4 linked regions of the Elephas maximus indicus genome follow. The protein of the gene in region 1 interacts with the protein of each later gene in a pairwise test. Links are inferred from orthologs where the notes say so. Each region holds a gene or a part of one and is shown in the gene's direction. Other genes may lie near its edges. The genes, in order: MEOX2, CHIC2, PAK1IP1 and TRIM41.

Region 1 (7,011 bases):
AGGTATACAGAATCACTAAACAACAGGAGTTAACCAAAAGCAAATTATTTCTTTAAATTTTATAATATAGGCTCCTGGAGGAAGCTAATTCCTCAGTTTTGTAAAATATAGTATATCATAAATCACAGAAATCATCACAGCATATTTAGGATATTTGTACATATTTTCAATTTTTTTTTTCCAGAAAGACCAACTGAAAGGCATTAATGTTATTTCTTAGGGAAATATTAGAGATACAATGTTTCCATCTTCAACAAAACTTTCAGAGACAAATTTCCGTTTCAATATAATTACTCACACGCAAATTCATCTGGTTATATGTTACCAAGGCAAACATTTGTCTATCAGGTGAAATGCAAAGTAGAGTTTTGTATCTGTTGATAAACATCATATTTTATTTTAAATGTTTTTATTTTTATCACACCTCACATCACAAGCATACAGGAGAACGGCAACTCTTATAAGAATCATAATAAATCTCAAGATAAAGTTTAAATACAAAACTTGCAGATTGCTTAATATGAGTTCTATTTTCCTTAAAATAGTGCTAATCAAAACTATCTTTCCCTTTATTATTTAATATGATTTCATTTAAGCAGAGGGAACAATAGATACATACACTTACAAACTTTAAAGAGTCTAACACATGTTTAAAATTATTTTGACAATGTTTCCTACAAGAGCTGAGCAGGTTACTTTTTTCATACATTGAGCCCCTTTATAATGTGCCACTTGGTATTAAACTTTGTATGAAATATTGTCATTAACACAGCATGCTTTTCAGGAAAAGTTGAAGGATATTGTAAATATAGACTACTGCACGTTCCATATATAGTTTAAAATAATTGTTATAGAAATCTTACGATAAATATTTAATTATTATCATTCTTCATGATATAGCTAGCCATTAGAAGTTAAAAGGCATCTTTCAACATTGGATTTTATAAATGTGGACACTGAAGTAGTCATTACAGGAAATGCTAGGGATTTTTTCCTGTTGTTACTATACGTTTAAAAAAAAATTCTCTATGGCCTAGAGAATAAAACCCAATATTCTATCTTAGATATTCCAAATATCTAAGAAATTAGAATATTAAAACCGATGTATGAAATAACACATACATATTTGAAAACTGAAATTTAAAAAAAGCATATATAATTCCAAAATGCACCCATATATTCTAAAAACCCCCTTTTTGACTCCTTTCTTTGCATTATACTTCTTTTCACTTTCAAATAACATTTTCCTTATATAACGCTTTCAACTGAAAATTGGGACTTACAATTGTTACTGGTATTAAATGTTCTGTGTCTTCCATTAAGAAGACCTTTCTTGCTAGCTTTGTGTTAATTGCATGCCTTTGGAAGACACTCCCTCTCTCTTTCTAACCTTTACTAAATTTTTCTTCCCAGACTCTTGGCCCCACAGTTCCAGAGGCTGACTGACTAAGGCAGGTTGTAGAGAAACTTCTGGATATGTTGTTAACATCTGACACAGCGAAGTGAGAAAAAATCCAGTCCAGTCACCAGGCAGGTTCAAGGAGAAATGGCAGCTCCTGGAGATGAAAAGTTTGCGTGGCTAGTTGCTAGTTACCTGCAACACACTGATTAAATTCAAATCCATTCTTTTTTCAATGGCTTAGCTCCTTCTCTATCACTGTAATAGAAACCAAAAGGACCGTTATGGATATCTTTTTATTGGGGTCTACAAATCAAGTGTGTCTTTAGTCAATCTTGTCTGATATTTTCTACAGTTTAGTAGACAATATTAAACCCACTGCCAATATTACATTATGTAAATATTTCTGGCTACTGTTTATTGAGGTAAAAAGTTGCCTAAATTTCTATTTGGATAAACCCTTTAATAATTTTACCCAGAACCCGAGTTTGGGACCTTTAGTATTGCTCTTTGTACTTCAACTTTTAATATCAGAGCACATATTGAAACGATAAACAAAATGAAAATTCAAAAAATATTCCTTCGATATTGAAAGAATATACCCTTCCTTTTTTTACTCTTAAAAAACCAAAGGCGTGGGGAGTGGCAGGAAGAAATATTCTTAAGATCTAAGCTCTGGCTCCCGTCCTATGAATACTTAAAACCCCTAAAAACGTGCAACCTGAAGAACACTCTCTTTCGAAGTCTAAAACAATGTTAGATTCCCAAAATATCGGCAAAGAAAGTCTTACCGTCAAACGCTTGCAGCAGGTTCCAGCTCAGACCAAGACTGAAAAAGCGGAGCAGCTGGTGAACAAAAGTTTTAGGTTTTTTTTTTTTTTTTTTTAAACGAAGTCTGCAAAACTAATTTTCCTCAAAATAGGGCTCAATTTCCGTTAAAGAAAGCAGCGCTTACAAATCTCAGAATTCCTGATTACCCCCACCCCATCCTCTCAGTAATGGAAAATAATTCGATCTTTCACACGGATGTAAAGGTTTATTGCGAAGCCACCACACTGTAATAGAACTTAAAAGCAAAAGCTAGAGAGAATCAGGCTGAGGCTGGAGAGACTGGGCGAGAGGAAAGTTCTGCCTTGGGGACACCGCTCAAAGGTTAATCAATACTTTTTCCTAATTCAAACCAGATGGCTGGCCCAGTTTGCTGTCTCCATTAATTCCATTAACAACTTCAAAGACCTGATCACCGTCCTCTGGACACCTGAGACAATGAAAATAATGGCGCGACGCTGCTGGTGGCGCATTCGGGGGCCACGGGAGGGATAGGTGACCGCAGATATTCTCCTGATGCGACACGTCGCAGGCAAGACCCGGCCGTTCCTGCAGCTCATTACGCGCGGTTCGTTTGTCGTGTGTAAATGACTTTGCCCCTAGCAGACAGGGTCGCCCCCAAGCAAGTGGCAGTATCAAAGGCAGCGCCTGCCCCTTCTTGGAAAGAAAATCGAGTACAGCCCTCTCTCGCTGGTAGTTACCGGTGGCAAGTTTTCTAATTTTTTTTTGAGGGGGGAGGATGCAAAATTGTTACTAGGGAGGCCCAAAGCCCCCAAATTTAGTAAACTTGGGGTGAGTGTGGGGAGTGTAAATGGACCCATGGGGGGATGCGAGCAACTGATTTATGTTTGAACGGAAGAGAGTGGATTGCTGGAGGGAAATGAAGGGACTAGGGCTCCTGAGGGGAAATGTGCGTGCCATCTACACATTTCATGTGATCGAGAAGAGAGCACTTTGTAATATTCCTGACCCAGGAAAAGTTCTCCTTGGTGGGTAAAAAAAAGTGACCAGGAAATTGAGCGGGACCAGGAACGGGTACGGGTAGCGTTTGCGGAGGGCGGGGGGGGGGGGGGAGGGAAACCCCACCTGGCATCGCAGGTGAGGATGCCAAGACCTGGGTATCTGCAACTCTACCCGCCTCACGCATTCCTCTCACCCACCCCACCAGGTCCTTCTCCTTTGAGCACAGAGAGCTGCCGTTTCCCGTTCGCGTGAACATCCCTGCAACCTCGGATTTGGAGCCTATTAACAACCCGCCCACAGACACCAGCGGCACAAGGCTGGGAGCGCTGCTGCGCCCAGGGCGCAGGAACTTTCGAAGTTTGAAAAACTGACGCCTCGGAGCGCGCGCCAAACTACCGCTGATCTTTTTTCTCTATGTTATTGGCCCTTCCGTGCGTTTCCTGCAGGTGACAGTTCCCAAGTGGCTTTGACAAAACATGTTTCCTGAGAGAAGTGAGCTAGTTGAAAACTGGGTGCTGGGTTGGGGCTGCGATGCGCCGCCGCGCGTCTTTGCCGATTGAGCCGCAGGGAAGAGCACTGCCGGCCCAGGCTGCGACCTAGGCGCCAGGAGCACCGCTTGCAACTTTGGCGTCTAGCAAGGTTGTGACGGGTTTAGAAGCACTGCGTCCGCCCAGCGCGGAATAGGAAGTGAAACTCCGAGCGCGCAGCGCAGACTGAACGAGGGTTTTGGAGGGAGTTTGCATGTGGTCAGCGCTGGGCTCCTAAGCCAGCCCCCAGCTCACATTACACTCTATTTATAACCTCTCAGAGCAGTTTTCCCCTGAAAGCAGTTCTCTGGGACCACCTTCTTTTGGCTTCAACCTCTCCTCCTCTTGACATCTGAGTAGCTCAGTGGAAAGCTCCTCCAGGTCCGAGTGTTTATATGTAAAGGAGACTGGCCGCTAAGGCTCAGGACCGGGATTATCCCAGCTCTGCAGAAACGCGCGGCTATTGCTGTGGGAGGGGGGTGGGGAAGTCACAGTTTCCAGTGAAAACTGACAGAGCTTGGTGGCTTTTGGAACCTTCGTGAAATCTTCTGTCTGGAACCTGAGACTTGCATGCTATGGAACACCCGCTCTTTGGCTGCCTGCGCAGCCCCCACGCCACTGCGCAAGGCTTGCACCCGTTTTCCCAGTCCTCTCTCGCCCTCCATGGAAGATCTGACCACATGTCCTATCCCGAGCTCTCCACTTCTTCCTCGTCTTGCATAATCGCGGGATACCCCAACGAGGAGGGCATGTTTGCCAGCCAGCATCACAGGGGTCACCACCACCACCACCATCACCACCACCATCACCACCAGCAGCAGCAGCACCAGGCTCTGCAAACCAACTGGCACCTCCCGCAGATGTCCTCTCCCCCGACTGCGGCTCGGCACAGCCTCTGCCTCCAGCCGGACTCTGGAGGCCCGCCGGAGCTGGGGAGCAGCCCGCCGGTCCTGTGTTCCAATTCTTCTAGCTTGGGCTCTAGCACCCCGACAGGAGCTACGTGCGCGCCAGGAGACTACGGACGCCAAGCGCTGTCGCCCGCGGAGGCGGAGAAGAGAAGTGCCGGCAAGAGGAAAAGCGACAGCTCAGGTAAGGGCGCGCGGGACACCCTCGGCGAGAGTGTGCACGGGGCTGGAAAGGAGGCGGAGAGATGCCAGGGAAGATTCTGGCAATACAATGAGGCAACAGGAAAAATGGGACCTGTTTGCCCTTTCTGGTTCTCCGTAGACTAATTCAACGGGGCCGTTTTGGTTGTGTTATGGGGTGCACGAGTTTTTCTGTGGGCAAAACAAGTGCAGCCAGCAGCTTTAAGCGCTCCAAGGTCCCATACTAGTTCATCAGAGGGTTGAGAAAAAAGGACAAGTGACATTACTGAAATAGATTGCGAAGCTTGTCCTTCCGCCCGAGGGGTGGGGAGGGAGGTGCGCCAGGGGATGCTGTCTCCGCCGCCGTGTGCGTGCGGGTGCCACTCCTTGACTTCTCCTTTGTAAGTTCCCGACTCGGAGTTGCTCGATTTTTCCCATCGTTAACTCGATTTCCAAATTATTGCACAATATTTGGAACTTGCAGTGGAATTTGGCAGAGCGCATGAGAAAAAAAAGTTCTAGTTTTTTTTTCTAAATTCTTATTTCAGAGTTCTTTAAATAGCACTTTTTTCCAAATGGTAAAAAAAAAAAAAAAAAAAAAATTATCTTCCTTGAGGAGAAAGACAGTATCTAGGAATTCCGAGGATTTTAAGCAATGTGTCAGAGAATTGTAAAGAAATAAGTAGATGTTCAAACTCTTCAAGAAAGAGAATTCTTAATAGTAGTTCGCCTTCTCTGGGTACTCATCTAAAGAGAAAACGTTGAGTTGCAAAAGTGGAACATAAAATACTCCTCTAATTGGGTATTATCTGGGGACAATTACTGTGAGGCAAAAAAGCAACTCCGGTAGTTTTGGTTTGCTGCGTGCCTGAAGCTCATATGTGAGGGTGAGCGCAGGAACCACTGAATTTTATGGAGATAACTTGAGTAGCCACGCAAAAGAGGAGCCTTCCTCAACTCCGGTGCTTACGGCACAGCTTGCCAAGTAAATTTTAGTAATTCTGAGAAACAGACTTTTCCAGAGAGCTCTTAAAAGCCCTTACCTATCTGTATCTTACGAAATTGCTGAATGATACTTAATAGTTGCATTTTTGAGTTTTCTTCTGCAGCTGCGGCGCGACCTGGGTTCCATCTTTTTGGAAAGTGTCACTTGTTTAATGTATTTGCATATTTATCTTCCTTTGCGAAATTGGTTTAATAGTTTCAGAAGGTAATCCTAGGTAATGGTTTCAAGCTTTGAAAATGTTTATTCTTTATAAAGCTTTAGATAAGATCCTACATAAATGACAATGACTGAGCCGCGGATTTCATTTCCTTAGCAGCAATAGTATCAATCTTCAGGGCTGGTATGGACTACAGCCTTCTGTCACAATCTCAAAACCTAACTTTTACTTTTCAAGGTCAGGAGTGAATTTCTGATTTTTCATACCAAAGTAGTTTATATCTAAGAGTTACCAGCTAAGTCACTCATTTTTAATGGATTTTACTTAGTGTAAGTGAAACTCTCAAGACAGTGAGTTAAAAGGCTAATCTTGCAGGAAGGTTTACATCTTCATTAGGAAAAGGAAAAAAAAAAAGGTCCTTTTGGAATACAGTAACGTTTTTATAGACTGAGCATTTGACAGTGTAACTTTGGGAAAGCAGATCCCAGTTCAGATTGGTCAGTCTACTTTTACAACTACCAGAAGCTCTTACCGTTCATTTTACTCTCTGCAATGAAAAATCTATGTGAGGGATTATTCCTTACACTGACTGAACTGAACCAATGCACCTAAGTTCCTTAGGACAAACTGCCTTTTCATACAGATACATGTTATTTTGGTTGGCGGAAATAGAGAAAGTGGGATCTAAAAGCTGGTTGTGTTAAATTATTTTAATAAAAACTTTTTGAAGCTCCTTGGCCAATAGTGCTACTCCAGCTCCCCCCCTCTTGTCGGAAGCTAATCACATAACGAAGTCTATTCTTACAGATTGACGCTAATTACTAGAGTTATGGAAAAACAAAGAAAAGTTTGTCAGCTGCACAAACTATTAATAGAACATAACTTGATTGGGAAATACTTTTAGTCATCACCAAGGGTAGGTTCACTGGAGACTTAGAGTGAGTTTTTCTTTGATGGGATATTTTGAAAGGATTTTTGACTAAAAGGAATATCGCAATAGTTTCTGATTAAACATATGTATATTCATTAAAAATAAAATTTAAATT
Region 2 (7,282 bases), on another chromosome or scaffold:
GACATGGAAGGGACTGGACAATGGGTAGGAGAGAGAGGCTGATGAAGAGTGAGCTACTTGTATCGGGTGGACACTTGAGACTGTGTTGGCATCTCCTGTCTGGAGGGGAGATAGGAGGGTAGAGAGGGTTAGAAACTGGCAAAATTGTCACGAAAGGAGAGACTGGAAGGGCTGAATCATTAGGGGGAGAATGAGTGGGAGTATGGAGAAAGGTGTATATAAGCTTATATGTGACAGGCTGACTTGATTTGTAAACGTTCACTTAAAGCTCAATAAAAATTGTTTGAAAACAAACAAACAAAAAAACCCCATGGAGCACAGTTCTACTCTGACACATAGGGGGTTGCCATGAGTTGGAACTGACTGGATGCCAACTGGGTTTTTTTTTTTTTTTGGTTCTTTTTATCCGGTTTCCGTTTGAGCCATCTGCTCTGGAGGTAAATGTGAAAGTGCGTGAGGCAGGAGTATAAAGGGGAACTCAAAAGAAGAGATGTCCATGCAGGGATGGGCCCTTAGCAGGGAACAGGAGAGCACCTGACAGAGGGAAAAGATACTGAAAAACTGTGGTTCATTCCACAAGTGATTGGGGGAAGGAGTTTGACAGGAAACCTGATTCTAGGAGGTCGGGCATGGAGCTTGGAGTTCTGATGTCAATTGTCATCAGGAAAATGTTTGACTCATCTTCCTTCACCCTCTCAGCCTTGTTACCAGGTCCCACACCTTTTTGCTGGCTCTGACAGGTTTTTTGCAGAGCAGGAAACAGAAGAGCAAAATAGGAAGAGCAAAAATAAGGCAGCCCTACCTTACACTCAGGCCGTGGGAGTTACAAAGATTTCTCTGTTGAATAGATCTTAGAAAAAGAACATTTCTCCCACATTGAACTGGTATTAAGATAAGGGTGAGGTTCACACAGTCCTCTGAAGCCTAAGGAACTCATGATATTCTGGAAATAGCACTAGTAATAATATATCTCAATTCAGATAACATTTATTGAGTTCTGAAGCAGGAACTGTGGAGAGCGCTGGAGATTTACGTAGCTGTGCATGACTTCCTCTGCCCTTGAGGAGTTGTCAGCTACGTGATGATTTAGATACTTTGGGGTGCCAGCCTCTTACCTTGGCCACTGTTTCTGCAGAAAGGTAAATTCACAGCCACAGCACACGGAATGCGGGCTGGCTAGGACCATGCTGACCTTCCTTCCTCTTGTTCTTTCTTCCTACCCTCCCGTTTGCAGCTGCACCTTCTACTGAGTGCAGACTACCTCCTAGTTTCTGCCAAGAAGGAAATTCAGAGTCTGGCTTACCCAGTGCGCTGGAGTTGAAGCCCTGAGTTTGATCATTAAATAATTATGTGATCGAAGAATGTCATCAGTGTCACTGAAATGTACATGTACAAACTTGAATTGGGTGTATGTTTTTGCTGTGTATGTTCTCAACAACAAAAATTATTAAAAATAATAAATAAATATCAGTCATAATAATTTTATAAAATGTAGTCTGTAAAATACTTTGTATCATGTTTGGAAAATGATTTCCTTGTGGCAATGTACTTGTGGAAACATACTTCCTCAAATTCATTAAATTAACATGATTGTCCTAAAAAAAAAAATAGTCATATGGGTAAGTCACATAGCACCTCTGAAACTAAGTAATAAATGACATTTCTCCTTGCTTACCTTACAGAGTTCTTGGGGGAATATTACATGTTTTATTATGTATGTGCATCAAAAACTGTAAAGCCACCAGGGTTTCCGTAAAGCACTATACAAATACAAAAATTGCAATGATCCTTCTAGAGTCTGGGGGCACTCTGGATGGGGCCTTAGAGTTTGTTCAATGTCGCCTGTGTGCCGGGCACTGTTCTAAGCACTTCACATGTATAAAGACATTTAATCTTCAGAGCAAGTCCCTGGGTGGCACAAGTGGTTTGTGATTTGCTGGTAACCTAAAGGTTGGTGGTTTGAACCCATGCAGCAGTGCCATGGAAGAAAGGCCTGGTGATCTGCTTCTATAAAGCTTATTGTTATTGTTGTTGGTTGCTGTTAAGTCGATTCCAACTCATGGGGATCCCGTGTGTGTCAGAGAAGAACTGTGTTCCATAGGGTTTTCAAGGTTATGACATTTCAGAAGCAAATCTCCCAGGCCTGTCTTCCGAGCTGTAAGGATTACTGCTAAAAACACCCTATGTAACAGTTCTACTCTGTAACACACGGGGTTGCCATGAGTTGGAATCGGCTGGGCAGCAATGGATCTAACCTTCAGAGCAACCCTGTGACATAGTGTCTTAGTTATCAAGTGCTGCTATCCCAGAAATGCCACAAGTGGCTTTAACAAACTAAAATTTATTCAGGCCAGAAGTCCAAAATTGGGGTGCCGGCTCTAGGGGAAGGCTTTCTCTTTCTCTTCACTGTGGGGGAAGGTCCTCATCAATCTTCCCCTGGGTCTAGGAGGTCCTCAGCGCATAGGCCCCGGGTCCAAAGGACTCGCTTCGCTCGCGGCTCTTCTTTCTTGGTGGTGGTAGGTCCCCCCTTCTCTGCTCAGTTCTCTCACCTTCTATCTCTTGTAAAATAAAAGGTGATGGAAGCTACACCACAGTGAAACTCCCGTTACATCAGATCAGGGCTGTGACTTGAGTAAGGGTGTTGCATCCCACCCTAATCCTCTTTAACATCATCTAATCTTGCCTCATGAACCACAGGCAGAGATTAGGATTTACAACACATAGGACAATTACTTTAGGTCACAAAACACACAATACTGAGAATCATGGCCTAGGCAAGTTGACACACATTTTGGGTGGACATAATTCAATCCATGACGTGTAGGTACTATTATTATCCTCATTTTACACAAGAGGAAGAGAGAGGTTAAATGACTTGCTCAGGGTCACATAGTAAGAGGCAGAGCTGAAATGCAAAGCCAAGCAGTAATGCGTTAACCACCAGACTAAGCTGCCTCCTGTGTGCACCATTAACACCATCTGTATACTTCTCTAGGAGTCAGAATCAAGTAGACTACAAAGGGTACACTTGACTAGGAACACTTGGTAGAGAATTATAACTGCTTGCCTTAAAGGTAAATAAACTCCTGGAAGGCTGGGACTGTACCTCCTTCATACACATGCTCACACACTTGCACATTGCCTGCCAATTAGCTGGAGCTCTGTAAAATTTGCTGAATGAATAAATGCGTTTTGGGGAGGGATACAAGTCTGGTACACCTGCTGTGTTTTTCCTTCTTTTCTTGGCTGACTGCTTATTTCCTTCAACCATTCCCAAGAGGAGATTGTCATTTCTCACTGTTCTCGTTGCTCTCCTTTGCACAATCTCCTCTTCAACAAATGGTGCATCTTAAGTGAACTACCTTAATGTGAACAGAGTACCTGGGGAATATTCCGGGTGGGGTGGGACTCTTCCTTCCTCCCCTCACAGTATGTTCTCACTATCCAGGACTCTGTCCTCAGAAGTCCACTCCTGCCCCTGCAGTATTTGTTTGCCTGGGCAAGTTCTTGGCTCTGAGATCAAGTACCCGAGATGACCCTAACGCCTTGACCAGAGGTCTAGGCAGGTAAACGGAAATCAATCTTTTTTATTTTTGCGGAGGACGGGGCGGGGGTGGAGGGAGTTGAAAGGAATTCTTTAAGCTTTTAAAGAAAGAAAACTGATTATGGGGAGGGGGGGAGAGTTGGGGCAGGAAACTGCATCTTCGAATCTAGAACCCAGAGAATTATTATCCATTTCATTTCCTGGCGCTACTACGGTGATCTTTCTTGAAAGAAGATTTCGGGACTTGGCCTCATAAGTTGGACTGTATTTAAGGGGATAATAGGGCAAGATATATGAATTTGGAGATGTGTTGGAAAATCTTGTAGTAAAGTGGACAAAAATGTTTGCACTGTGTCTGTTTGGCTCCTCAAATTGGGAAAATACAGACCCCGGTTCACAGTCCGAAAAGTCTGATGAAAAGAGAGATTAGATTATTAGATAAACTGGCTATCATATGCGGGATAAATTTTCCAATTCCAACCAGGGCTTTATTCTTCGTTGTTTGTTTTGGTTAGAGACTACTTTGGGGAACTGTACGCTCCACTGGACGCTCCGCACTGTTCTGGGTAACAGGTCTCGCTGCCATTCCCCAGAGCCGCCCCTTTCCCGGGGCAGGAGGGCGGGGCCGCGCTGGCGGGAGCGCGCGCCCGAGGCGGAGTCTGCGGTGGGAGTGGAGGAAGGAAGGCGGCCTGGGAGCGCGCGAGGCTGCCAAGTGCGCGCGCCCGCCAGCCCGCTCTTGCGCCCACGCGCTTGCCCGCACTCCCGGGAAGTCTCGCGATGTCGTAGCCGGCTGCTCCCGCTGCGGGTGGCTCGGGCTGTTGCTGTGGTTGCCTGAGTTGCTGCTGCTGCTGTTGCGGCAGCGGTGGTGTTGGTGGAGGTGTCGGCCCCGGGGCGGGCGGATGTTGACATTGTTGGTGTTGTTATTGCTGACGGTAATGGCGGCGGCGACGGCCGGGACCCCATCTCCTCTGTAGCCGGAGCCGAGAGACAGCCTAGAGCGAACTCCGCGGCCTCCGAGCCGGCGGCAGCAACTCCCCTCAGCCTCCGCCGCCTCGCCAGCCCGGACCCCCGCCCCAGCTCCTGAGTCAGGCCCCTTTGGGCAGGGGTCGCGGAGGCTCGGGATGGCGGATTTCGACGAGATCTATGAGGAGGAGGAGGACGAGGAGCGGGCCCTGGAGGAGCAGCTGCTCAAGTACTCTCCGGACCCGGTGGTGGTCCGCGGCTCCGGTCACGTCACCGTGTAAGGCCCGGAGGAGGGTGAGGGCGAGGACGGGAGGTGCCGGCCATGGGTGGGCCCCACTTACACCTCGGGAGCCCCTTTCCCCCTCGGTGTCCGCTTCTGTCGGGGGCCTTCGGCAAGAGAAGGCGACCAGGAAGTGAGAACTTGCTTTATTTTCATTTGCTTGGGTTTCCCAAGTAGGGACAGACACTGCCCTTCCTCGCCCCACACACCCCTTTTAGCAGGCCCCACAGGCCTGGGCAATGTGACGGATCCCAGTAGCGAAGGTTTTTCTTTCGGAATCTGCTCTGCGGGCTACCTGCAGCTTTGGGGTGAAGTACACGTATTTTCGAGGTGCCCCTCCCTTGTTTTCTCATCCAGTTACCCTGCGGGTCTCTCCTTCTCTGCCTTTGAGACTAGTGACATATGTTCCGGAGGCCAGATCTGGGCCATGGAAACTGCAGTGACCATCAGGATGGAGGTTCACTCTCGTTTGTGTTTTTCACACATACGCCAGGTCTTCCCAGTTTCTTTCAGAGTTAGTTTCTGCGGAACTAATGGCAAGTTCCTGTAATTGTTTATGATACAATATATAACGAAAGTATAATTAAAATGTGCAGAAAGATATACCGTTTACAACTAATTTTTTAAAAATCTACATGATAGACACACTCTGTTCAGGTTACTGAGGATTCGCAGTAATCTAAGTCCCTTCTTGGGCCATGAACCCTAGCATGGCTTCTTCATTTGATAAGGTTTTTTGTAAATCTGGCTAGCAACATTGTAAAAGTCCAATATTATTCAAACAATAGGGAATGAAAGCTTTCTGAAGAGTCATGACTAATAAAGGAATGTGAAGACTTGAACCAAATAATGAGCTGTCTGGAAGCAGGAAGTTTTGTATGTTTCTGTGAGAAGTCCAGAGTTTTGTACAACTTGAAGTATTTATACGTTGTCATTTTAGGCCTTTTGTTTAGATCATCGATCAAACTTTCATATATGCTTTACCTTTTTAGTAAAATAGAAGGACCAGCAAGTCTGAGACTATCTGGAGCAGTTTCATTATATTTTTGGTATAGGATGAGTGGCATGTGCTGTGAATAACTTAGTGAAACAACAGAAAGACTTTCATGTAAGATTTTCAGCAAAATCCTTGCATTTTTCAGTGTACAATATGACTAGTCATATTGTTGTTTGGGTATGCTTATGTAATGCTTTGGTCTGTTTAACACCTGTTAGTTTATATTCACGTGATTTACCAGGGTAAAACACTGTGTAATTGCTGTCACAGCACCATAAGACAATGGAATTTATCACCACAATAACAGTTACTGTTTTAACTCTCATTACCAGTTGCAGTTAATACATATAACCAAATCTGGATATTAAGCCTTTTGTTAACATACATAGCAGAACTTTTTTAGTCTCATAACCTGACATTTAATTTTTAGTTCAACTCTTAAGGTCTTTTTACATTATTTTAAACCTGAGGAGTAAATGAGTGCTTAAAGAAGGGATTTTTCAGACTTTTTCATGTTGTCTACTCTTCCCCTTGTTCTTATACATTCCTCGTGTCAAAGAAAATCTGGTGACATTTTGTTATTTAAGAAGGTGGAGCTATAGTTGTACTGGAAACCTGGCGGTGCACTGGTTAAGAGCTAGGCTGCTAACCAAAAGATTGGCAGTTTGAATCTACCAGCCACTCCTTGGAAACCCTATGGGGCAGTTCTACTCTGTCCTCTTGGGTCGCTATGAGTCGGAATTGACTCGATGGCACCCAACAACATCAACATAGTTGTACTCTTTCCTTTGTTAAAGGTAAAGAAAAGCTAAACACTTTGGGTGCCTAAATGGAAAATATAATGACTGAAGTGCTCAGAACCAAATAGGTGATCAGTAAATCGGATTGTATAGGCAGTCCCCAACTTAAAACAGGGTTCTGTTCTGACGACTCTGTCATAAGTCATTTCTGATGTAAGTCAAATCTCTCTCTCTCTTTTTTAGTTTTCATTATTGTTGTCTTTTATTCCAAAAACCAAAGACCAAACCCAGTGCCATCAAGTTGATTCCGACTCATAGTGACCCTATAGGACAGAGTAGAACTGCCCCATAGAGTTTCCAAGGAGCGCCTGGCGGATTTGAACTGCTGACCCTTGGGTTAGCAGCTGTAGCACTTAACCACTGTGCCACCAGGGTTTCCCTACCTTTTATTAGCAGTATGTTTATAAATGAGGACCCCTTGTGGCATAGTAGTTAAGCACTGGGCTTCAACGGTTCAAACTTACCAGCTGCCCTGCAGGATAAAGATGTGGTGATCTGCTCCTGTAAAGACATTAGCCTCAGAAACCCTATGGGGCAGTTCTACCCTGTCCTGTGGGGTCACTGAGTTCGAATCTACTCGACGTCAGTGGGTTTGGCTTATCTTTATAAATCTAATCTTTGAACACCTGCAAGTGAAAATTTAAGAATGATAATATTAGCAGTTATGTGCTGCAATATTGTATGTAGTACATGCTACG
Region 3 (7,930 bases), on another chromosome or scaffold:
GGGGAGGTTTGGTGGGGGCGGGGGGGGGAGCAGCTGTTGGTTTTCAAACGCTGCAAGCTTTTAACCACTGCATCTCCAAGGCTACTTTGATGTAACAGGCCCAGCTAAAGGACTACATTTCCCAGCTCCCCCCGCCCTGCAGCTAGAGGTAGCCAAGTGGCCAAAGTCTGACTAATAAGATGTAAACAGAACTGTTCTAAGGGGCTTCAGGAAGACTGCATAAAGGGAGTTTGCTCAGCTAAAGAAGCCTTTTTTGTCCTCCACCCTTTCTCCAGTCCTAGTGCTGAGAATACAGATGTGATGGCTGGAGCTAAAATAACTGCAGTTATTTTTTTTATCTTGGACTATGAGGTGACATCAGGAGGAAGTCATGCATGAGATTACTGGATCTGAAAGAGAGAAGGCATCCGAGTACTTGATAATTGTGGAGTCCCTATTATCAGCACTAGATTGCCGCCTCAGACTTCTTTTATTTAAGGAACAGATGTTTTGCTTAACATGATTCCTAACTACTGTAGCGGTTTAGACATCAAATAAAACATCAATTAAGGGACTTAAGACTTAAGCAATCTTTTTGTAAAAACGTAGTTTTTTTTTTCTTCTCCTCATTTTAGGACTGACTTTATTTTGTACAAAGAAAACCAGAATTTTGACTATGAATGAGTGGGAGATGAGGCTGTAGTTGGAAGGGTATGTGGAAGTTGATCACTGATAATGAGGTGATAGGAGGCTAAGGAAGGGAAAGGCCCAAGTATCATGTTGAAACCACACAGACAGATAGCTGGCAAGAGCTGGGGTGCATAAGACCATCCCCAAGGTTCCGCAGATAAAGATGAACATTCAGGGGCTCTGTAGATGACACTGACATAAATATTTCCCTCTCTGAAAGCCCCAAATACAAACTTCTCCTCTCACCTGGATTATTCCGATGAAGCAAGTGAAGCAAGTTTGTATCAGGACAGACGGCATCCAGGGGAAGGAGACCACTATCTCTGCATCTCCTTGGCTCTAAGTACAAATGGGACCAAAGCCCTCTGGGGAGTACAACCTTATGCAACTCCTGAACCCCTACAGCCTAGCAGATATGCTACCTGCCACATCAAGAAGTATAACTGAACAGGAATAGTCGATTTTCACAGCGCTGCTAACAGAGCCAGTTTTCCCTCTACTGTTTTCTGCTGTTAGCCCAGGATACCCACCTTACCACCAAAAGTAAACAAGTTGCCATCGAGTCAATTCCAAGTCATGGCAGCCTCATATGTGTCAGAGTAAAACTGCGGTCCACAGGGTTTTATGGCTGTGACCTTTCAAAGTAGATTGCCAGGCCTTTCTTCTGAGATGCCTTTAAGTGAGTTCAAACCTTTCAGTTAGTAGCCCAGCACTTAACCATTTGCACCACCCAGAGACTTACCACCACCCCCTAAAAAGAAAAACTGGCTGTGTTTTTATTTTCTTCAGCAAGCCAAACAAAGCCTGGCACTGAATAAATGTTGGAATGAGTATATCAATGCATGGGTAAGTGCAAAAAGCTTTTCAGTCAATAACTTAAAAGCAAAAAAAACAAAACAATGCTGCTGTGCAAAATGTGTTGATTAATGAACTCTGAACAATTGGTTGTTTCTTGGCAACTGTAGTTTTCACAAGGATAAGATTAAATGGCTTTTTACATCCTGTGTTTGGAGAGAGAACAGAACAAAGGTTTTACAGGAAGTATGCTCCACTCCAATCCAGTTGGACAGGTGTATAATCTTGCATGGTGTATTTTTCTCCAGACAATGAGAAACTGTGACCTGAGCAAGTTATGAAACTACTGCCATGGCAATGAATAAAATGGAATGCTGCTCCTTCCTTCTCTGTTAAAGAGAATCTTCAAGCCCAACCATTCTCGACATTTCATTATTTGCAAGTTAATGTTGGATTAGTGCATTCTGCCTTTATGAGCCACTAATCCCTTTGGAAACCCTGGTGGCGTAGTGGTTAAGTGCTATGGCTGCTAAACAAAATGTCTGCAGTTCAAATCCACCAGGTGCTCCTTGGAAACTTTATGGGGCAGTTCTACCCTGTTCTGTAGGGTTGCTATGAGTCGGAATTGACTCGACAGCAGTGGGTTTGGTTTTGGGCTTAATCTTTTTGAAAATTTACTTAAATTTTACCAATGCTTTCCTCCCAAAATCCACATACACAGTTTTGCATGTCACTTCACGGATTTAAAGTCTCTAAAACCTAGCCATAAATCCTGCAGATTAAGAACACGTGGGCCAGACACGCTCTCTAAGGTCCTTCTGAGCTCTACAATTAGTTCCACTCATTTCTAAAAGTAAAAAGAATAAACAAAACCACAGAGTTATGCCTATGTTGCTTTGACTCTGGATTTCATTCTAAAACCCACTAATACATATTCTAAAAGATTCCTGATTAGAGCAAAAGGCTTTTCAAACCATAAGGTTCTTCTCTGAAATCTGACAAATACTGGAGCAGGTGTTAAGTGTGACACTCTGGTGACAGATACTGAATATAGTAATTATGCTGTAGAATGTTAGATTAGAAATTAATTTCAGAATATATACATTTAACTATTGCTGTACTTTCCAAAGGGCCACTGGTGATACAGTGGTTAAGAGCTCGGCTGCTAACCAAAAGGTCAGCAGTTCAAATCCACCAGCCACTCTCTGAAATCCGTACTCTGTCCTGTAGGGTCACTAGAAGTCGGAATCCACTCGACGGCAACGAGTTTACTTTCCAAGCAACAGATCAGATTTCCTTGGGAGGATGAGGCAGAGTACATGGGCATCCAACAGAATATACAAAGCATGTGATTTGTAAACATCAGTTTTATTCAAAGTTGTTTTTCTTTTTGGATGGCAGATTATTTTGCATTAAATATGAACACATATGTCATGGAGTAAAATGAAATAATCATATTTTTTAAGATAAAATGAGACAAAAAGATTTTCTACTTACTCCTTTGGTGCATGACCAACAGACTCCCCCCCAGGAATTCACACTTTGACTTTAGTAGTACTTTGGTGGAAATAGTTAAGAAACAATAAATTAAAAAACAACTTAAATAAGATAATGTGACTTTTTGTAACATAGTGAATATAACTAGCACAAACAAAGTGAGGGGATTATAATTCTCAAGAGACTGAGAACCAGATGGGCTATAGCATTTCAGGTTCTGAGGACAGACTATTACTTATGGAGCTGCCACAGCTGATAGAAGACATGGCCTTCCTGGAGTTGCAATGACAGCCCATCAAAGCATCCAGTGAAGTCATTCTGACAAAGACCCAAACCAGTATCAATTAAAACAACAATACAACCAAATGGGTTGCGGTGGAGTTGATTCCAACTCATAGTGACCCTATAGGACTCCGAATTATCAGCACATAATTGTTTTAATTGATCCCTGGCGATGCACAGGTTAAGAGCTCGGCTGCTAACCAAAAGGTCATTAGTTCCAATCCACCAGCCACTCCTAGAAAACCCTATGGGGCAGTTCTACTCTGTTGTACAGGATGGCTATGTGTTGCAATCAACTCCACCGCAACGGGTTTGGTTTTTCTTCTTTTCTGATACTGACAATTCACAATATCAGAGAACAAACGTTCTTGGCAGCAAAAAAGGTCTGAAGTGCTAAAAGGATTGCATTACATTTCAAACGGGGTTGAAGATTTGACATCCAAGTATGCATCTAACACCTGCTTTCCAAGTCGACCTGCAATGGCATTTATGAAAACTAATTATGCGTCCCTGGGCGGCGCAACTATTTACGCGCTGGACTACTAACCAAAGGGTTAGAGGTTCAAACCCATCCAGAGGCACCTCAAAAGTAAGGCCGAGCAATCTACTTCCAAAAAATCAGCCACTGAAAACCGCTGGAGCACAGTTTTACTCCGCATACATGGGGTCGAAATGAGCCGAAATTAAGGGAGCAATTTACTCTATCGGAAGTGTGTAAAACTTATAGTTTCTAATACATCCCTAAATCTCCATACCGTATGAAAACCTCCAACGTAAAAGGCAATATTTACCGTTTGATTTTGCCCCTAACCGGTGACGTTCCTTCTGGAATGTTCCCCTTCTGTTAAGTCAGTCAGTTTTTATTATACCTCCCACGTGGTGCGTCCTCCTCCCTATAATGTGCCCCAACCCTACAGGTCCCAGGTCCGATCTGAGAGTCAGCTCCAAGAACCAAGGTGGAAGGAAAATTGTGCTGTGCGGGACTGCGTGGCCCGCGCAGACGGGAGTCCGGGAAGCGGACTTGCAGAGCCCGGACTTCAGTTTTGCACACCTGGCCCTAAAGTCCGCCGACTCCGGTGACTGCGAAACCTAAATCCCAAACCTCCTTGTCCTCCTACGAGAGAATGTGTGTGTGAGAGAGAGGCTCGTCCCGTTGCTTCCTGCACAAAAACGAAACCTAACTCCCCTTCACCTGTATCACAGCCCACAACACCGCATCCGCCACACTAGGCCGCCGCGACAGCCTCCTCCCGCTTTAGGCCGGAAGTTGGCCCTGCTCCTGCCTGAGAACGTCAGGGAAATGAGGGGCCTCCGCAGAGAACGTCCTGCCCCGCTTCCCTCGGACGCACCTAGCTCACGAACCAAAAAAGCCAGTGCCGTGGAGTCGATTCCGACTCACAGCGACCCTATAGGACAGAGTAGAACTGCCTCATAGAGTTTCCAAGGAGCGGCTGGTGGATGTCAACTGCCAACCCTTTGGTTAGCAGCCGTAGCAGTTAACCACTACGCCAGTTTCCTAGAATATGTCTGCGTACCCCAATTTTTTTCTTTTTACAATAAGAACCATATCCTCACGTGACGTTGTCTCCTCTTCTTTTCTTGGAAAACCTGCGTCATCTCCGAGCGCTGAAACTTTTCACGGCTGCAGGCGCCTAAAAGGCAGCCCCATGGCCGTGACGTATAATTTGCGCGCCGACGAAGGAAAGCCCCTGCTCCTCTTGGGCAGAGCGCGGTACACTCCTTTACGCTGTACAGGGCTCTTTGAAGAGACACGTGCGCTGTTGAATGGAGCTGGTCGCTGGTTGCTACGAGCAGGTCCTTTTTGGGTTCGCTGTGCACCGGGAGCCCCAGGCGAGCGGCGACCTCGAGGTGAGAGCCGACTCCTGGAGGGGCCGCCGGAGGCGGGGGAGGGGTCAGGTTGGTTCCCACGTGGCAGAGGTAAACATTTGGGCACCTGATGTTTGTCGTCTGATGTCTGTGGATTAATTGGTGAATCAGACTCAGAAACTTAAATAAAAAGTTAGCCTTTTAAAACCTGCAGTAGGCATTTCATAAAAATGATCATATCTATTAGATTAGAGAAAATGCCCACAGTAAAGGAAGGAATCTGGCATTTCTGAACGCGGGCAAATGAGTCGTAGATTGTGGGTTTAAGGGTTGCTCCCATAAGCAGACCGCGGTTTAGCTCTTCAGAATTTAATGAACAGTTCGCTCATTCAGTTCAGTTTTTGTTCTGGAATTGTACAACGTATTAGAGCTGGGTCAAGATAAACTCAAAATAAAATGACACCAATTCGTTGGATTATTCGTTGAGCACTTACTGTGGGCTAGGCAGTGGAGGTGCAAAGATGGGGAAGATATGAATCCTGAAGACATCCCCTCCATAATGGTGAAGGACTGGGGAGACGGAAGTAATTATGTTACCAGATTATGAATAAAAATGTTAAATGAATTGCCAGTAGTCAAACAGGTAGGACATGCCCGGGATTAGAAATTACTCTCCTAATTTCTAGCTGGTACTATTCTTTTCCTTTTCCTTTAAGTAATCCTAGGTATCTGTTAGAAACCTATTTCATGTTTATCGTTAACTAAGGTGTCAGTCTGGACCTAACCAGAAAACTGGAAGTATATGACTTGACTAACGGCTTTTGTTTATTTTGTTTTCTAGTCTAGTATAAATCAGTTTTTGGCGGTTGCTTAAAGGTGACATGTCTAAATAGTCAAAGATGATGCTATTAATTGTAGGTTCTTTGTAATAAATTTGTTTACAATGTTCCAGACATATAATAGTCCTCATAGCAAATCTCTAAGGAAGGTAGAGTTATCCTCGTTTTACAGATGAGGAACCTGAAGTTTAGATAAGATCTGCTTAATGCCAGGCTGCAAATAAGTCCCCAGATGTCTTTGACTCTTGAAGCTCTTAACCATTATCCGATGTTGTTGTGTGCCTCTATAGGACAGAGTAGAATTGCCCCACAGGGTTTCTAAGGCTGGAATCTTTACAGAAGAAAGCTGTCACATTTTTCTCCTGCACAGTGGCTGATGGGTTCAAACTGCCAACCTTTCATTAGCAGTGGAGTGCTTAACCACTGTGCCACCAAGCCACCTTCATTACCCACTGCTTCTAAATCTAGACAGACAATTGCCTAAACAATCAACATTGCTTTCATAATGTGTACAGGCAGGAGTTATTCTTTGATTTCTGGGTGTAGCAGCCCCTCAAGAAAGTTGTGCCTTTGTGCAAAATTATGGAGGACCATCTGTTGCTTTTAATTAGGGATTTATTTGCAGTAACACATCTTAACCTGTGTATTCAAAGAAGTTTGTTGTTGTTTTCTTTCTTGGGTTTACTTGTTTGTTTTTTGGCTGATATTTCTTGGTGTGTCTCCTTTAATGTAAGGCATACTGTTTGTGTATTCTGCTGTCATTCTTTGCACTGATGCAATCACACTGTGAAATCCAGAAGTTACATGGCAGTGAGTGTAATCGTTGGTGATTCTTCACAGCTTATATTGGTACTAATGCAAACATCTTACCCTGTTAGTTTTTCTTTATAAACTTGTTCTGTATTTGTTTATTGTCTGCCTAATGGAAAGAAAGCTCCATTAGGTTAGGGACTTTGGTCTTCTTTGTTTACTGCTATATCTCAAGTAAGAAGTGACTCGATGGCACCAAACAACAACAACTGCTTAAAATAATGCCAAAACCCGTTGCCGTCCAGTTGATTCCGACTCATGGTGACCTTATAGGCCAGAGTAGAACTGTACTTTAGAGTTTCCAAGGAGTGGCTGATGGATTTGAACTGTCAACCTTTGGGTTAGCAGCCGAGTTCTGATAAAACCAAAAAAACCAAACCTGTTGCTGTCAATTCTGACTCATAGCAACCCTAGGCATTCGGTATTTGAATCAATAAATTCAAGTCAGAATTTAAATATTTGAGTGAAAGAATGATACAGAAGTCTCACATGTAAGTAAATATGTAAGGAGTTAAAGATTTGGAGGGAACTTTAAAAGTCCCTCTAGTCCAGTCTTCATGACCGTGTCCTGGAGTCATGATACCTGGCATTCCTGTCTCACCTTCCACTTGCCTTCCTTATTCCATTCTCAGGTGATTTTTTTTTTTTTTTCGATCTACATATTATTGTGTAGTTTCTTCTCCATTGGTGATATCCATTGGTAGTTTTCACAGATTGTGGAACCGTTTATCTGTCTCTGGAGTACTTGGATGTGACTGTGGCACTGATGGTAGGTTTTACTCTTCAGCAGAAATGGACCGCTGTGGCTGACTTCACTCACCATGCCCACACTGCTTCCTTGTCAGCCGTGGCTGTGAATAGTCGTTTTGTAGTCACTGGGAGTAAAGATGAAACAATTCACATCTACGACATGAAAAAGAAGATAGAGCATGGGGCTCTGGTGCATCACAATGGTAAGACAGCTGTATTGTTTAAGATAATATGGGGGCACTGTATTTTACAATGTGCTTTTAGGCAAACAGTTCATTAAGCCAGTATTATGGAGCAGATCCTGTGCTACAGGACATACAGATGAAAAACTTGGTCCCTTGCTTTCAAGTTGCTTACAGTCTGCCTTGGGAGATGTAAGGAAATGCTTAACTTAGTCAGGGAGGGCTGGGGTGGGGGCTTACCTAAAGGATCCTTAAAATTACATCTGAATTGAATCTTAA
Region 4 (6,976 bases), on another chromosome or scaffold:
GATGGCAGCAGGCGGAGCCGTGACCCAGGGTGAAGAGCCCCAAGAGTTGGTCGGCTGATACCCACCAGTTACTCGTTCACCTATGGTCAGCAAAGCCCTACGGCTGTGGGTTTTCCAACTCGAGGTCTTCTAGTCAGTACCTGGGCGACCTCCTGTCTGGCCAAGCTTCGGCGAACACCGCCAGTCCACGATGCCAAAGCCCACTCAGTCTCCCTCCGACTCTTCTTTGGCACAAAAATTCCTTAGCCATTTTCATTTTCAAAAGAGAATACACGCCCAATGTGGGGCTCAAATCCGTGAGTTCACGAGTCTCGTGCCCTACCGACTGAGATAGTCTGACAACATCCGCAACCCTTTTTCTTCGGCCTCAGGAAACCGGGATACACAGCAGGCGTGCGGACACACTTCAAGGAGTTTTGCAGAATTAATTGCACAAGAATTCATGGATCACTTACTGTGCGCCTGGCTGCGCCCTAGACACAAAGGTCCGGGGATCCGAAGCCTACAACCTACAGCCCTTATCCGGAGGAGGTGGCGGCCCAGGCTTCCGAAGGCAAGAGTAGTAAAAAAAAAAAAATTTTTTTTAGCTGAATTGACATTGTGAACATTTATGATCTGGTGTGAGCCCAGCTCTGCTGTGATCGCGCTTTACTGTTTCCCTGAAACACAGATTAGATACACACATCTGTCTGTATATGCCTCCATGTGACAGCACCCTCCCCCTATCTCGAGCCGCAGACGAGATAACCGTGAAGACGTGGGCATCGAAATGAAAAATAGACCAGAAAAGGCTGTTTCCGCCCGGTTTCGAACCGGGGACTTTTCGCGTGTGAGGCGAACGTGATAGCCACTACACTACAAAAACACAGATTATCAGCACATCCTTAATACAATCCTCAAACTACACGTGGCAGAGAATGGCAGCTCTAAGTGCGACTGCAATCCGCAAAGGCGCGTCGCACTGCCACTCCGCAGTGTTCAAGTCCCGTGGCCTGACTTCTAGCGCTAAAGCCAGTGCGTCTGGGCGGGCGCCCGCTCAGCTCACATCTGCGCGCACTCTGCGAACCGCCGGGTTCGTGGCTTTTCGCGCCTTGGGTCAGCCGCTCAGAGTCCCCGGACCACCCACTTCGGAACCTCCTGTTCTTCTGGAGTTCCTCACGAGGCGAAAAGTGTCTCCAAAAAAAAAGGGGTAAACTCTGGATGTGGTGCCCTGGTACCGCTCAGCATTTGGCACTCGCTGGCAATTCTGCACATACATTACCCATTGCCATTCAGTCCATTCCGACTCATAGCGACCCCAGAGGACAGAGTAGAACTGTCCGATAAGGTTTCCAAGGCTGTAACGTTTTGTGGAAGGAGTCCTGGTGGTGCAGTGGTTAAGCGCTCGGCTGCTAACCGGAGTTCGAACCAACCAGCAGGTCAGTGGGAGAAAAGAGGTGGCAGTGCCCTTCTGTAAAGATTACAGCCTTGGAAACTCCACGGGGCAGTTCTACTCCGTCCTATAGGGTGATTCGCATTTTTTAAAAAATCTTTACTGGAGGTTATTGCCACATCTTTCTGTCTCAGAGCTGACCTTTCGGTTAGGAGCCGAGCACTTAACAACTGCACCACCGGGAACATTATGGGCAGGAACTTGGCTCACAGGTTTTTGTTATTGCTGTTAATTACAAGAAGTTTAAACAAAGCATCTAGAACTACTGCTATCACACATGAAATCCACTTAGTAGTGATGTTGGGTACCACAGCGGCATCTTTACTACTACAATTCCACAGCCTGGACAGAATTGCCTCAAGTAAAATCAATTCCACAAACCCAGTCCGAGGCCCTGTTCGTAGACGAGGGCACCAAGAAGACAAACCTTGAGGCTTTCTGTGAGCAGAATATGTGTGGTGCACAGCTCGGAAAGTATTAGTTGAATTAATCGATGGCATTTAGAAAGTTTTGTATTTTCATTTTTTTAAGGTAATGCATTCACTTGGTTCAAAATTCAAAGAAGACAGAAAGATACAGGGAAAGTGTCTTTCCTACTCGTGACCCTTGGCCATTCCGTTGCCTTCTCAGCAGAACTCGGCTGCCAGTATCTTTGCAGAGACATTGATGAAAAGGATAAGTAATGCGTAGCTAATGTATCTCGCTTACTATGTGCTTAGCACTGTTCTGTCGGTTTACATATTTGCTCTGATTCTCACAAACCTCTGAGGTAGGTACTATTATCCTCATTTTGCATGAGTAAACTGAAGCGCAGGAATGTGCAAATATCAAATACATCTTTGAAACATATTCCTCTTTTTTACAGATGAGGACATACTCTACACACTGTGCAGTAAGTCCCGAGATTACTGATGTCAGACTTATGGACAACTGGTACCTGCCCTTTATGTAAATTTGTCTTTACTTTTAAATGATTGAACCAACTGCTTGCTACTTGCAACAAATTTTTCATCACAATCACCTTCACTTGCTGCACAGGCAACTTTTAAATCACTGAAAAGGCATCGAGACTTTTCTTGCACTGAAGGCTAAATAAGAAACATATGCACCTGTTCCAGCTTACCTACGAGTTTGACTTAAAGGCACACTTTTGGAAGGAATCTCGTTCATAGCCCGGACATTGCCTGTATCTTGCTTTTTTCACTTAATAAATCTTGAAGATGGATTTGCATTTTACAGATAGTGTTCCACTGTGTGGATATACCAAAAGCCAGACCCATTGGGTAGAGTCGATTACCATTCAGCGTGACCCTATTGGTTAGAGCGGCCACAGGGTTTCCAAGGAGCAGCTGGTAGATTTGAACTGCCCACCTTTTGATTAGCAGTGGAGGTCTTAACCACTGCGACTCCAGAGCTCCTCGTGTGAAGATCTGTCACCATCCCTTTACGGATGGGAGTTAGGGAAGTTCACCTACAGGAGGCTACAGTGATCAGGCAACAATCTCTAAAATGGGCATGGAAGATGCTGACAAAATCGTTTTGATTCTCCTGAAATCCAGATTTCTGGGTTCATGGAAGTGGGGTGACCCACCCAGGCCATCAGCCCTTAGGTGTTCTTTTGAACCTTTAAAGAACTGGTTCCCTGGAGTCACCTTCAGGTCAAACGAGTTCAGTATGCCGCTTAGCAGAGACATTGGCCTTAGGCATTGTGCATTCAGCTTCGAAATGCAGAAGTTCCAGGGTCTGGCTAAAGGCTGTTTTAGAATATATGGCATGTCCTTGTTGACTGTTTCTGTAACCTGCCCTGTGCTTGATGTTATCTCTTGATAAATTAACATAACATTGACCTTTATAACCCGCTTTCACAGTCTCCTCTCGGAGAGTCTTCCCAACACGTTCGGGTGACCGCTGCCTGAGTGGAATAGTATCTACTCAATAAATATATTCCGTTACGCTAATTTTTCATGTTTCTGTAAACAATTGAGGTTTTTGACAAGGCCAACTATAGTGGTAGGGTGTCTCTGGCTCCGCCCCCTGATCCATCACCGAGGAAATCTGAGCGCTCGAACAACAAAGTCCTCCGCCTAGAAGGGCCGAAGCGCTGCAGAGCGCTCAAGGAAGCCCCGCCCCTCTGCTTCCGGCACCGGCAGCGCTGAGGCCCGGGTGTCATTTGTACTCGGCCGGTAGGGGGGCGCCCGGCCGATTCGGTCATGGCACCGAGAGCGGACAGCCGCCAAGTACTCCCACCGTTCTCCCAAGTTTCTCTCCAGTGACTGAGGAGGGGAAGGGCGGGGCTTTTGCTCTGCGTTCCGCACCCCGCCGCATCACAGAGATGTAGGGCTCCTATGTCCTATCCCTCCCGCCCTGTTCCCGAGTGCCCGCTAGAGCGTCTCCTCGCCGTTTCCTGTCGCCCAGGGACCGGGGAAGGGGGGGGAAACTCACGAGCCTGTCTGGCGCGTAGACGCCGGAAGTGTTGGGTGAGAAATCGGAAGTGAGGGGGCGGGGCCAGGAAGTGAGGAGGGGCGGGGGTTTATGAGGAGGCCAGGGAAGCGTTGGGGTGGATTTGCACTCAGGGCCACCTGAGGGAGTTGGCGATAGCGTTCAGCTTTTTCCCTTGCCCACGCAGAGACACGGTTGTCGTCTGGGAGTAGGGAGCTCTGTGTGGAGGGGTGGGTTGTCAGAAGAACATTTCTCAGGCGGCACTTGAAGCGAGCTGTGGAGAGGCAGGGCTGGGGGTGGGGCCGGGTCGCCAGGGCGTCTGAGAGGGAAGACCCCCCGCCCCCCTCCCCGCCCCCACCGTACATCTAAACTGGCTGACTGGACGCTAAGATGGCTGCCGTTGCCATGACACCCAACCCTGTGCAGACCCTTCAGGAGGAGGCGGTGTGCGCCATCTGCCTCGATTACTTCACGGACCCCGTGTCCATCGGCTGCGGGCACAACTTCTGCCGAGTGTGTGTAACCCAGTTGTGGGGCGGGGAGGATGAAGAGGACAGGGACGAGTTAGACCGGGAGGAGGAGGAGGAGGAGGACGGAGACGAGGAAGAAGTGGAGGCTGTGGGAGCCGGCGGGGGGTGGGACACCCCCATGCGGGACGAAGACTATGAGGGCGATATGGAGGAGGAGGTCGAGGAGGAAGAAGAGGGAGTGTTCTGGACCAATGGCATGGGCGGGTCTAACTGGGACAACATGGACTACGTGTGGGAGGAGGAGGACGAGGAGGAAGACCTGGACTACTACTTGGGGAACATGGAGGAGGACCTGAGGGGGGAGGATGAGGAGGACGAGGAGGAGGTACTGGAGGAGGATGAGGAAGAGGAGCTAGATCCCGTCACCCCACTGCCTCCGCCTCCTGCCCCTCGGAGGTGCTTCACTTGCCCCCAGTGCCGAAAGAGCTTTCCCCGGCGGAGCTTCCGTCCGAACTTGCAGCTAGCCAACATGGTCCAAGTGATTCGGCAGATGCACCCAGCCCCTGGTCGAGCGAGTCGTGGGAACGAGCAGGGCATCTGCCCCAAACACCAAGAAGCCCTGAAACTCTTCTGTGAAGTGGACGAAGAGGCCATCTGTGTAGTGTGCCGAGAATCCAGGAGCCACAAACAGCACAGCGTGGTGCCATTGGAGGAGGTGGTGCAGGAGTACAAGGTGAGAGAAGAGAGAAGATGGGAATTTAGTGGGGGTGGAGAGAAAGTAAGGGGAGCTGGGAAATGGAAGCGTCTTTCCCCCCCAAGAACCTCATGTACTGGTGAGCTGATTCTCCTTATGTGAGCATTTACTTACTGGCACCCAGGTGGGGTAGGGTCAGAAGGGTCCTGTACACCGACAAAGGAGATACAGCAAAGAAGACCAGCGAAGACTGGCCTCCTCAAAGGATATAAGGCAAAGCTGATGATGCCAGATTACTGGGCTGCATCTCCCGTAGAGCAGGCCACTACTGTTTCACTCTTCCACTGTCCCTAAGTGTAGGAGTGCAGGTGACAGGCCCCTAGTGCTTTAATACTAGTCTCCACTTCCTCTGGGTAAATCTTAAGCCTGTCTTTGACGGAGACCCCAAGAGATGGGGACTCTCAGAGAACAATAATTTGGGCTCTGAAGCAGAGCGTAAAAATGACAGGTGCCCCCCACTTGTCTCCTGACTGGAGTTCCCTACCCACCCCATGATTTGGTTTGGTTCTCCCCTTGAGAACTTTTGTAGGATCTGCAGCAGTCTGATATACTGACCAGAACTTCTTACTTTTTGTAACATACAGAAAAAAGAGAGAAGCTTTTTAAGTTAGATGACCTGGTTCTGCCACTTATTTGCCGTCAAGTGTTGGGCAAGTCTCTGAATCTTTTGAACTTTAATTTCTCCATGATTGCTGTTGTTGTTAGGTGCCATCAAGTCAGGATTAATAGTTAATATTTACTGGGTTTTTTAATTTATTTATCGAACACTTACTGTGTATACCAGGTACTCTACTAAACGCTTTTCCTGGACTTTCTTATTTAAAGCTTAAAAAACTGTGATTTTGGTATGTTTTCATTCCCGTTTTACAGATTGGGAGACAGAACCAGAAAGGTGTAATGTATACAGGACCACAGAGCTACTAATAAATGGATTTGGTTATGACTCCCCTGCCCCCCGATCCATTAGAAGCTGTTACCACCATTTGGATGTCTGTTGTTAGTTTGACATTTCTGACATGTGACCTTCCTCTTTGGAGACCGATTCTGGTTTGGGTAATATCTTGCCCCCTTCTTCTGATCTTGACTCTTCTTGGACATAGGTGAAGGAGATTTGTTTGTAAATACTACTAAGCCAAAGCCTGGATGGGTTGAAAGCAGCAGGACCAGGAGAAGGAGAGGGTGGCTACTTCTTTGTGGTCTGTGCGGTGCTGTTTTGCTCTGACTTGTGTTTTCACACCTTCTCCTGATTCCTACAGTCACCTCAAGTTAGGTTCGTTGTTGTTGTTATGTCAATTTTAGAGTAACATGTCTAGGGCTTCTCAGCTCTGAGTATGTACGGCTAAGACCTATATCCCTTTATCACTAACTATTCCTTTCAAGGAGTGATTGTCAAACCTGGCTAACTCTCATAATTCCTAGGGGAACTTTTCAAAAGTACAGTGGGTCCTACCATTAGAGATTCTGAATTGGTGTGGGGAGAATTCTTAGGAGAGCCCAGCCCAGTTTAGGAATCACTGCATTGGTTAACATCACCTGCCTTTTACCCGTGTATCCTTATGGGAGGTTATGAACACCCGTTGTCTTTTTATATCCCCTCAGTTCCTAGTTAACTGTACCAGTCACACAATGTGCAGTCACTCCGTTAACTGGAACCAGGGATAGACTCTCCGTGGGCATTCCACCTCCTTTCCTCCACTCTCCTGCAGGACTCCTCTAAGGACCTTCTGAAACTGGATTTTATTTGTATTGGTCACATCTACCAAATGCCAGCTGCCTGAAAATCCTGTTTTAGGCCCTGAAGGGAGTCCATGGGTGGTATAAACAGTTAAGCATTCAACTCTTAGCCTAAAGGTTGGTGGTTCGAACCCATCCAGTAGCACC

Evidence for each region.
Region 2: the proteins of MEOX2 (region 1) and CHIC2 interact in binary tests that used the Homo sapiens proteins (3 or more experiments, as listed by UniProt). The two-hybrid records come from large-scale screens. The link is inferred for Elephas maximus indicus from reciprocal best matches to the Homo sapiens genes MEOX2 and CHIC2.
Region 3: the proteins of MEOX2 (region 1) and PAK1IP1 interact in a two-hybrid assay, tested with the Homo sapiens proteins (2 studies listed by BioGRID). The two-hybrid records come from large-scale screens. The link is inferred for Elephas maximus indicus from reciprocal best matches to the Homo sapiens genes MEOX2 and PAK1IP1.
Region 4: the proteins of MEOX2 (region 1) and TRIM41 interact in binary tests that used the Homo sapiens proteins (3 or more experiments, as listed by UniProt). The two-hybrid records come from large-scale screens. The link is inferred for Elephas maximus indicus from reciprocal best matches to the Homo sapiens genes MEOX2 and TRIM41.

The regions. Positions count from the first base shown.
Region 1 is NC_064826.1:76,480,171-76,487,181, reverse strand, and holds the start of MEOX2 (homeobox protein MOX-2), read left to right. Parts: upstream 1-4,005; 5' UTR 4,006-4,292; coding exon 4,293-4,806; intron 4,807-7,011. UniProt on the Homo sapiens protein: Mesodermal transcription factor that plays a key role in somitogenesis and somitogenesis and limb muscle differentiation. Required during limb development for normal appendicular muscle formation and for the normal regulation of myogenic genes.
Region 2 is NC_064823.1:107,538,593-107,545,874, forward strand, and holds the start of CHIC2 (cysteine-rich hydrophobic domain-containing protein 2), read left to right. Parts: upstream 1-4,282; 5' UTR 4,283-4,665; coding exon 4,666-4,784; intron 4,785-7,282.
Region 3 is NC_064819.1:54,151,082-54,159,011, forward strand, and holds the start of PAK1IP1 (p21-activated protein kinase-interacting protein 1), read left to right. Parts: upstream 1-4,908; 5' UTR 4,909-5,028; coding exon 5,029-5,112; intron 5,113-7,506; coding exon 7,507-7,672; intron 7,673-7,930. UniProt on the Homo sapiens protein: Negatively regulates the PAK1 kinase. PAK1 is a member of the PAK kinase family, which has been shown to play a positive role in the regulation of signaling pathways involving MAPK8 and RELA.
Region 4 is NC_064820.1:199,954,015-199,960,990, reverse strand, and holds the start of TRIM41 (E3 ubiquitin-protein ligase TRIM41), read left to right. Parts: upstream 1-3,961; 5' UTR 3,962-4,261; coding exon 4,262-5,074; intron 5,075-6,976.